Oryctolagus cuniculus: one gene and its partner. The protein of the gene in region 1 binds, or shares a complex with, the protein of each later gene. Links are inferred from orthologs where the notes say so. Each region holds a gene or a part of one and is shown on either strand. Other genes may lie near its edges.

Region 1 (5,056 bases):
AGCGACTGGGAGGTGAAGGAGGAGATGGACTTCCCTCAGCTGCTGAAGATGCGCTACCTGGAGGTGTCCGAGCCTCAGGACATGTGAGTAGCGCCGGCCTGAGCTGCAGCTTTGAACAAGGAAGAGGGGCGGGGTGGGGGGAGTGGTTACACTTGAGGCTTCCTTCCCCTCCCTGGAACCCCGAGCAGAGGAGATGGAAAGGGGGAAGAGAGAACGCAGGACAAGTCTGCTGGTGCTAGCTCCGGTCTCTGCCAGCTCCCTGGCACCCACAGCGAGGCACGCTGGTCTACAGCGTTCCTCAGAGGCAAGGAGCCGGAGCTAAGTGGGTGGGGACCCGGCGCGGCCGGAGTCAGCACACAGGCGCCTCTGGGACAGCCCAGCCCTGGCCCCGGGCTTCAGGCTTTAAGGAGGCTGGGCGGGCGCCATGGCCAAGCAGGTGGAGGCGTGGCTTTGGGCGCCCCATCCCGTACCCATACTCCTCACTTCCGGTGCAGCTCCTGCTGACGCGCTGGAGAGGCGGCAGGATAGCCCAGGTGCTGAGGTCCTGCACCCATGTGGGAACCCAGGTGGAGTTCCAGGCTCCTGCCTTCTGCCCGGCCCCGCCCTGTGGTTGAGGGCTTTGGGCGCATGAACCGGGGGATGGCAGGCCTGTCACCCTGCCCTTCAAGTAAACCTTTGATGGGGAACAGGTAGCACGAGGAGGCTGGGCGCAGGGGTTGCGTTTGCCCCGCTCTGTGGGGGCAGGGGCAGAGCCCACAGAGAGCACATCCCCCCGTAGAGCTCACTGCTCTCCGTCTCCGTGCCTCAGCCTCTGGGTCAGGCCTCGGCGGGCTTGGCGCCGCCCTTACCCTGTCTGTCCGCCTCTCCCACAGCGAGTGCTGCGGGGCCCTGGAATATTACGACAAGGCCTTCGACCGCATCACCACGCGGAGCGAGAAGCCACTGCGCAGCATCAAGCGCATCTTCCACACGGTCACCACCACGGACGACCCCGTGATCCGCAAGGTCTGCCCCCGCCCCGCCCTCCCCGCTGGGATCACGGCCGAGCCCCGGGGCCGGCTGAGAGCGGCACGTTTGTGTGTGTGGTTGGAACTGTTACGTAAGTCTTGGAGTCAGACTGACGGTTAGATGGGAACAAGGCCAAGGGCGGCCGGGGCGTAGATGAGTGTGGACAGTGCCTGACCCGGATCCCAGCCCTGCCGGGCCGCCTGGATTCAGCTCCGCAGCCTTAGTTTGCTCATCTGTGAAAGGGGTTTAGTGTACGCGGCCGTGCCGTGGGGAGCAGGGCGAGCCACCAGGGACCACTCGCCACAGTCTGCGGGGGCTCAGCCACGGTCCTGGTGACGCTGCTAACGGACGCTCCAGCTGCTAGGCTGCAGCCCTCTCGGGCACCCGGGGAGGCGTAGGGACGAGAAAGGCAGGGGCCGTGCGGCGAGCAGAGGCGGGAGTGGGCAGCTGGACCGGGGGTGTCTCGTCCTTGCAGCTGGCTAAGACCCAGGGGAACGTGTTCGCCACTGACGCCATCCTGGCCACGCTGATGAGCTGCACGCGCTCCGTGTACTCCTGGGACATCGTGGTCCAGAGAGTCGGGTCCAAGCTCTTCTTCGACAAGCGGGACAACTCTGACTTTGGTGAGGGGCTTTTCAAGGCACAGCCCGAAGGCCTGGGGGAGGTGTGGTCACAGTGGGCGTCTCAGGGTGTGCACGGTGTGTGCTGGTCACAGCGGGCCAGCCAACACGTCCCCTTCTGCGGTCTCCCTCTGCTGTGCACCGCTGGGGACTCCTTCTGTCCGGCCGTGAGTCGCTCGCCAAGCCTTGGGTGGCTTTGTTGACGGAGAATAAGCCCCACGTTGGAGAGCCGTAGGAAAGTGTCTGCCTCCCCCAGGTGTGGATGGCACCACACTCTGCTTCCAGACTATGTGCACTTTGTATTTCTGATTAAATGGAAGGCCCCCTGGTTGTTTTTTGCTGCAGTGAGTTTACCAAGGAAACAATACAATATATTTATTTGATGTGTAAATATGGATACACACACAGCCACAATGAAAACCAGGCCACTCAGAAGATAAAAGAGAATAATGGTGGTTGGTTGGTTTGTTTGTTTGTTTGTTTGTTTGTTTTAACAGCCAGTTAGTGAGAAAGAAACAGAGAGAAAGGTCTTCCTTCCGTGGGTTCATCCCCCAAATGGCCGCTACGGCCGGCGCTGCGCCAATCCAAAGCCATGAGCCAGGTACTTCTGGTCTCCCCTGCGGGTGCAGGGCCCAAGCACTTTGGCCATCCTCCACTGCACTCCCGGGCCACAGCAGAGAGCTGGCCTGGAAGAAGAGCAACCGGGACAGACTCCGGCGCCCCAGCCGGGACTAGAGCCCCGGGGTGCTGGCACCTAGCCTAGTGAGCCGGAGCGCAGGCTGGAATAATGGTGCTCTAAGCTTGAAGCCTGAGGCCGTTTCTTTGTTGAAAGGCTGACAGAATCAAGTATTCTGAAGTTACCCAAGTGTGTCACACAGTGGCTGGCTGTCCCATGAAGGGAGGGCCTGTGTCCTGGGACTGTCCACATTGCTGGGGGCTCTTGCCAGGGTGGGTGACCACGCTGCCATTTCCGCAGACCTGCTGACCGTGAGCGAGACAGCCAATGAGCCCCCGCAGGATGAAGGCAACTCCTTCAACTCGCCCCGCAACCTGGCCATGGAAGCGACATACATCAACCACAACTTCTCCCAGCAGTGCCTGAGAATGGTGAGCAGACAGGCGTGAGCTGACGGCAGCTTCGCTGCCACCGATTGCACCTGCTTCAGACTGGGCTCTGGGGTTATGGGATTGTAGGGGACAGGTGTGGTCCGTGCCTGTGGCCGAGGAGTTTTGGACTTGGGCTTTGAAGTCAGACTTTCTGGCTTTGAACCCTGGATTCCTCTACTTAATAGCTAGCTTGTGGCCTTGGCGTGTTTCCTCCCTGTAAAACTATAACACACGAGTTCTTTAACAAGTTTGTGGAAAATGGATTGAAAAGGTGTTTGTTTTGGTGCCAACAAAAATTTGAAAATGATGCATCTTCAACACATTTTCCACGAATGTTTTGAAGACTCCTTTTGTGTGGACTTCAGTTTTTTGCACAGAATAAACTTACCTTTTAATTCCATTCTCCAGACTTGTGAAGTCCCCTCGTTCTAGCACTTGTCTGACAGACATGACACTGCTCTAGGCGGTGGGACCAGCCGAGCCCTCCCTTGGGAGCGGAGCGGAGGGGCGCGGACGCTGGCTAGGAGCCGTGCTGTGGGGGTAGCACGGGACTGGCGCGTCGGAACTCAGTGCCGGCGTCGGGAGGGTGAGGGAACAGCAGGCCTGACGCCTGTCTGGCCTCCTGCAGGGGAAGGAGCGGTACAACTTCCCCAACCCAAACCCGTTCGTGGAGGACGACATGGACAAGAACGAGATCGCCTCCGTTGCGTACCGGTAGGCGCCTCTCGGGGGCGCGAGCTCCTGGCGGGAGGTGGGGCGAGGGCCGGGCCGGGACCCAGCACTGCTCCGTCCTTGCAGCTACCGCAGGTGGAAGCTGGGGGACGACATTGACCTCATCGTGCGCTGTGAGCACGACGGGGTCATGACCGGAGCCAACGGGGAAGTGTCCTTCATCAACATCAAGACCCTCAACGAGTGGGATTCCAGGGTGAGCCCCAGCTGGAGGAGCCGCCTCCTTCCGTCACCTTGACTCTGTCTGGTTTTCGTGCTTTGAGCTTTCCCTCCGCTTAGCGCCTCACTGAGCAGGAGCGTGGGCGTGTAGAACGCACTGCTTCAGCAGCCTCCGCCAAGCAGCAGCCCCCTTCCCCTGGTCTGTCCTCATCCCCGCTCCATCCTGACCCCTGTTGGCGTCCACCGTGTGCGTGTCCGGCTCCCGCCCCGCCTGTCGTCCAGGCCGGTGGTCTCCCTGCAGGCCCAGCCGCCTGTGCTGGACTCGGACGCTCGCTCAGCATCACAGGAAGCTGCTTCCCTCACGTCCTCCCTCGTGCTGGCGCGGTGCTGTTGGGCCGTGGGTGGACTGCGGGGGCGGCAGGGCTCCGGGCTGCTGTGCGGGACGGAGGCCCATCGGCAGGAAGCCCGAAGGCCCAGCTCTGCTGTTAGGTCTTCTATCCACTGCTTCACTCCCCAAATGGCTGCAATGGCTAGACCGATCTGAAGCCAGGAGCTTCTTCCGGGTCTCCCACACGGGTGCGGGGTTCCAGGCACTTGGGCCACCTGCTGCTGCCCTCCCGGGCCAGAGCAGACAGCTGGGTCGGAAGAGGAGCAGCCGGGACTCGAACCGGCGCTCATGGGATACTGGCACTGCAGGCTGAGACTCAGCCTACTACACCACAGCGCCGGCCCCTCTCTTTTTTTCTCATTTTGTTTTTTGTTTTCTGGGGGGTTTATTGGCACAGTTTAGTGGCATTTCTTTTTTTATTTCAGGGTACTCCTTTGTGCAGCCTTGTGTTAGTGCTGCTCTGCTTCATAACAGATGCGCCTCTAGAAAGAGCAGCTCCAGGGCCGGCGCCGCGGCTCACTAGGCTAATCCTCCGCCTTGTGGCGCTGGCACACCGGGTTCTAGTCCCAGTTGGGGCACCGGATTCTGTCCCGGTTGCCCCTCTTCCAGGCCAGCTCTCTGCTGTGGCCCGGGAGTGCAGTGGAGGATGGCCCAAGTGCTTGGGCCCTGCACCCCATGGGAGACCAGGAGAAGCACCTGGCTCCTGCCATTGGATCAGCGCAGTGTGCCGGCTACAGCGGCCATTAGAGGGTGAACCAACGGCAAAAGGAAGACCTTTCTCTCTCTCTCTCTCTCTCTCTCTCTCTCACTGTCCACTCTGCCTGTCAAAAAAAAAAAAAAAGAAAAACCATCAAGAAAACTTAAAAAAAAAAAAAAAAAAAAGCAGCTCCAAGCGATGCCCGGAACTGCTGACTCACAGCTCTGTCGGCCACGAGTCTACACGCGTACACGCAGCGGCCGGGTTCTCTGGGCTGGCACCAGAATTAGGTTCTTGACAGGGGTCTGGAGGAAACCCACCTCCTGACTCGGGTGCTGGCAGCGC
Region 2 (4,889 bases), on another chromosome or scaffold:
AAGTGTTTCAGAAAGTTGGGGAAACCGTCACAGAAAATAGGACACTTGAGCTGGGCATTAAAGCATCTGTGATGGGTGAGAGCCTGGTAAGACCCCTGTCTGAAGGATTCAGTGTGAGGAAAATGAAGGAGAGAGAGGATTTGTGACGAGAAATGAAACTAGCACATTGAGGAGCCATCAGAGGTATTAAATAACTGCAGGGGTCTAACTGCTGTGAAGGGTCGCAGGGAGCTGTGAGAAGGTGGGGGCTTCTTGGGGGAATGTCTTGAGCACTAGGCATTTCAGGTAAGACTGAGAATTAAAGATTATTCTGGCTGCTGGGTAGAGCGTGCGTAAGAGACAGGCTTTGCTGTGCATGGACACCAGGTGATAGAGGTTGTGCTGGTATTAGGGAAACACGGGTAGAGCAGGCAGAAAGGTGTGGGATAGTTGAGAGACAGGAATTAGGACTTGGTGTAACCAGAAGTGAAGAATTAGAGGAAGCGTCAAAGATGACTCCTCGATCTTTGATTAGATGTGGAAGAAGAAACAATGTAGAGATTGCTTTCAGTTTGGCATGTATTTCTTTTGCGATACCCCCTGAGCATTCCAGTGGAGTGTGAGGTAGGTAATTTTAGTATTATGGTCTGGAGTGCAGGATGTGTGGACAGGATGTCAGCTAAGGAATTAATGTCATTGGGTTACAGAGTTGTCATGGGCACCATGAAAACCAGTGAGATCAGCTAAAGCAGGAACTGGCAGACTGTGTAATGGGCCAGCCAGTAAATATTTTTGGCTTTGTGTGTAGTTGTCACAGCTACTCAACTTTGCCTTTATAGCGAGAAAACAGTTGTGCATGATACTTAAGTAACCACACTTGTGAAATTTTTTTTGTAAAGATTTATTTATTTTATTTGAAAGGCAGAGTTACAGAGAGACAGAGGCAGAGAGAGAGAAAGGTTCATTCCCCAAATGGCCACAATGGCTGGAGCTGCGCCAATCCAAAACCAGGAACTTCTTCCTGGTCTCCCATGTTGGGCCATCTTCTACTGCTTTCCCAGGCCATAGCAGGGAGCTGGATTGGAAGTGGAGCAGCCAGGACTTGAACCGGCGCCCATGTGGGATGCTGACACTGCAGGCAGCGGCTTTACCCACTACACCACAGCACCAGCCCCATACATGTAATCTTTTATTCATAAAAACATATCTAGGTCAGAGAAGACTGGTGATGTGGAAACCCATAGAAAAGAAAGTTTTAAAATAGAGGAAGTAGTCAAGTCTTTTGAATGCTGATGAGAAGTCAAATAGATAAAAGATTTAAATCCAGTGAGTTTAGGGACAAAGTTTAAGCTAAGGGAAAAAAAAAACTAAATAATTGGAATTGGACAGACTTTAGTGGATACAGGCAACATTATGATCTGTGGTAGAGCCGAAAGCACTTGAAGCCAGAGCTGGGTGATGCTGGTAGATTAAGAGATGGCAGGGCCAGCATTGTGCAGCAGGTTAAGCCACCACTTATGACACCAGCATCCCATATTGTAGTGCTGGTTCAAGGCCCAGCTACTCTGCTTCCAGACCAGCTCCCAGCCAATTCACCTGGGAAGACCACTGAACATGAGCCAAGTACTAGGTCCTTGCCACCTATGTGCAAGAGCAGGATGGAGTTCCTGGCTCCTGGCTGTGGCCTGGCCCAGCCCTGGCAGTTCAGGCCATTTGAGAAGCGAGGGTCTCTCAAATAAATAAATCTTTAAAAAGAAAGAAGGGAGAGAGGGAGGAAGGGATATAATGGGAGTAAAAGTGTCAGAACTTCAGAACTAAAAGAACAGAAGTTTGTGGTGAGAGACTGACAAGTAGAGAATTTCTGGAGATGGTAGGCTTGAGGCTATGACCACGGACCACATGGCTAAAAGAATGTACAAATCAGTGTGGTGTAGTAGGTTAATCTTCCACCTGCAGCGCTGGCATCCTATATGGGTGCTGGTTCAAGTCCTGGCTCCTCCTCTTCCAAAACAGCTCTCTGTGATGGCCTGAGAAAGCAGTGGAAGACGGTCCAAATCCTTGGGCCCCTGCACCGGCGTGGGAGACCTGGAGGAAGCTCCTGGTTCCTGGCTTCAGATCGGCTTAGCTCTGGCCGTTGCAGCCATTTGGGGAGTGAACCGGCAGATAGAATACCGTTCTCTCTGTCTCTCCCTCTCACTGTCTGTAACTCTACCTCTCAAATAAATAAGGTCTTAAAAAAAGGAATGTACAAATCAAGCTCCCTAAAACTGCTCAGACTAGGCACTGTCTCAGTAGACTGCATTGACTAAAGTTTTCCTGGGGGTAGGCATTTGTTGTAGTGGTTAAGATGTACATCCTGTTATCAGAGTGCCTGGTACTCGCCCCTCCCATGTCTGGATCCAGCTTCCTGCTAATGCACACCCCAGGAAGCAACAGATAATGGCTCAAGTACTTGGGTCCCTATCACCTATGTGAAAAACCCAGATTGAGTTCCAAGCTCCTGACTTTGAAATGGAATGAAAGTAAATCCATACAGGCTTTAGAGACCTTGTTGGTACTTCTGCAGATTCCATTTCATGGAGATGGTCTAGAGTGCATAGAGGTCTGCATAGGGCTGGTAGCGGAAAGTAAGAGGCAAGAAGAAACCTTGGGAAGGAAGGATGAGCCTTATTTGGTGATGGTCAGCCTGAAGAATTGGAGGTCATTGCAGAATCTCAGTTCTCTGGAGAATCCTGGGCCCAATGACGCTGAACTTGGAGCTGCTGAGTTCAGTTTGGTGTTCGGTGACTTAGAGGATACTTCCAAAAGCATCTGAGGAGTCGGAGGCTGTTGGGAGTCCAGGATTATAACCCCTGTCTCGTTCTCTCTCTCACAGGAACTGTTGACAAGCACTCAGTGGAGGTCACCAATTGTTTCTCAGTGCCGCACAACGAGTCAGAAGATGAAGTGAGTGGGGTTTGATCTGTCCTGCAGTGCGTGGCTGTTCACTGGCGAGGCCTCCCTCGATGCCCCTCCCATACAGCCTGTTGTGCTCATAACTGGAGCTCCTACAGCCAAGGGGTCTCTGCCATTCACATACTTTTACCCAAGTTTTGTTTTGTTTTGTTTTTTCTTTGGAGTTCTGGCTTCTTAGCTTGCTTTTCTGCCTTCTCTCTTAGGTGGCTGTTGACATGGAATTTGCTAAGAACATGTATGAATTGCACAAAAAAGTCTCTCCAAATGAACTCATCCTGGGCTGGTAAGTTGGGGATGGGGGTAGGTGGGGAGTCTCTCAGTGACTGCCACGGTCTTTACCACCAGACTAGATCCTGCCCTCCCTTTTTGGAGTCAGAGTATTGAAAGTGTGTTTTTTCAAGGAGCTATGAATTAAGTTTGTTTTGCTGGCAGTTCTGATCTTGTGAGGCCAAGAATATCTATCTTGGATTGTAGCTTTTACTGTGCAAGTTTTATTTTGATGTTGTTGTTTTGCCTTGCAGGTAACTTGCAGTTTTTCAAAAGCACTAAGTCAGCCTTGGGTTGGATTTGACAGTCGTGTATATATTGTCTTTGGCATTTGGTATCACTAGGTGTCACTATGATGGGGGTATCTCCTTAGAGACACCCATGCCACCCTTAGATTTGGTATTGGTGTCACATGCAGACATGAGTCCATACGTCTGTTCCTTTCTGCAGGTACGCTACAGGCCATGACATCACGGAGCACTCCGTGCTGATCCACGAGTACTACAGCCGGGAGGCCCCTAACCCCATTCACCTCACTGTGGATACGAGTCTTCAGAATGGCCGCATGAGCATCAAGGCCTACGTCAGGTGAGCGCAGAATCTCAGGGCGTAAAATGCTCTCTGGTTCCTGCTGTGCCTAGGTGACCGCCCCACCACCACCAGCACCAAGCAGGTTTAATTCCTTCAGTATCTGGCTTATTGCACTCTCAGCACTTAGCATTGGAAAGGTTTTGCTCTGAAACTAGATCTGCCACCATAACCTCCATTCACTGACCCTGCCTACTCCAGGTTTGCTCTTGGCCGGTTTCAGATGGAAGCGGTTCGGTATTTGAGCAAGCTGTCATGTTTCCTGTCGTCTTCTCCAGAGCCTCACTGTCCACACTTCCCATGGCCTCACGTGGTTTCCTTCTCACGATCCTTCCCCACGTCCACTACTCTTCTGAGATGCTTTTTAGTTCTTCTTTATCCCTAGAACTCAGCACAGCATTCAAGGTGGCACAGAGTAGAAGATGGCTATCTTTATTTTTAACACACCTGTAAACTCAGGATTGAATGCAATTTTGGTGACAGTAATAATACAGTCTTAGCATGTTGGGCTCACAGGCACTTAAAATGCCAGCTATTGAAAGGCCCTAGGGCCATGCTGAAGAAGCTGCTGCGGGAGGTGGAAGAATTAAGTCCCCTCGTTAGAGGAAAGGCGCCTCTTACACTGTTTAACTTTTTTTTAATTTTACTTGTTTATTTGAGAAGTAGATTTACAGACAGACGGAGAGACAGAGAAAGGTCTTCCATCCACTGGTTCACTCCCCAAATGGCCACAATAGCCCGAACTGGGCTGATCCAAAGCCAGGAGCCAGGAGCTTCTTCTGAGTCTCCCTCTCGAGTGCAGGGACCCAGGTGCTTGGGCTATCTTCTGCTTTCCCAGGCAATAAACAGGGAGCTGTACTGGAAGAGGAGCAGCTGGGACTAGAACCAGTGCCCATATGAGATGCCGGTGCCGCAGGCAAAGAATTAACCTACTGCACCACAGCGCAAGCCTCTCCACTATTTAACTTTTTGCTGTTTCTGTGTGTTACACTGATGCAGCCAGTATACCATTATGCAGTAGGACAAAGATGGTGGTTGCCAAGTCCTTACATGCCAATTGACAGACAGCTGAGCTGAGTGGGCATTCCATTCGGCTCTAG

The links. Proteins that work in one complex are often made in the same cells at the same time.
Region 2: EIF3D (region 1) and EIF3F share a complex: the UniProt entries of both Homo sapiens proteins name them as parts of the eukaryotic translation initiation factor 3 (eIF-3) complex. The link is inferred for Oryctolagus cuniculus from reciprocal best matches to the Homo sapiens genes EIF3D and EIF3F.

Annotation. Positions count from the first base shown.
Region 1 is NC_091442.1:113,759,042-113,764,097, reverse strand, and holds part of EIF3D (eukaryotic translation initiation factor 3 subunit D), read left to right. Parts: coding exon 1-83; intron 84-872; coding exon 873-1,005; intron 1,006-1,483; coding exon 1,484-1,631; intron 1,632-2,604; coding exon 2,605-2,735; intron 2,736-3,363; coding exon 3,364-3,449; intron 3,450-3,533; coding exon 3,534-3,663; intron 3,664-5,056. UniProt on the Homo sapiens protein: mRNA cap-binding component of the eukaryotic translation initiation factor 3 (eIF-3) complex, a complex required for several steps in the initiation of protein synthesis of a specialized repertoire of mRNAs.
Region 2 is NC_091432.1:58,222,113-58,227,001, reverse strand, and holds part of EIF3F (eukaryotic translation initiation factor 3 subunit F), read left to right. Parts: intron 1-2,854; coding exon 2,855-2,925; intron 2,926-3,137; coding exon 3,138-3,217; intron 3,218-3,651; coding exon 3,652-3,789; intron 3,790-4,889. UniProt on the Homo sapiens protein: Component of the eukaryotic translation initiation factor 3 (eIF-3) complex, which is required for several steps in the initiation of protein synthesis.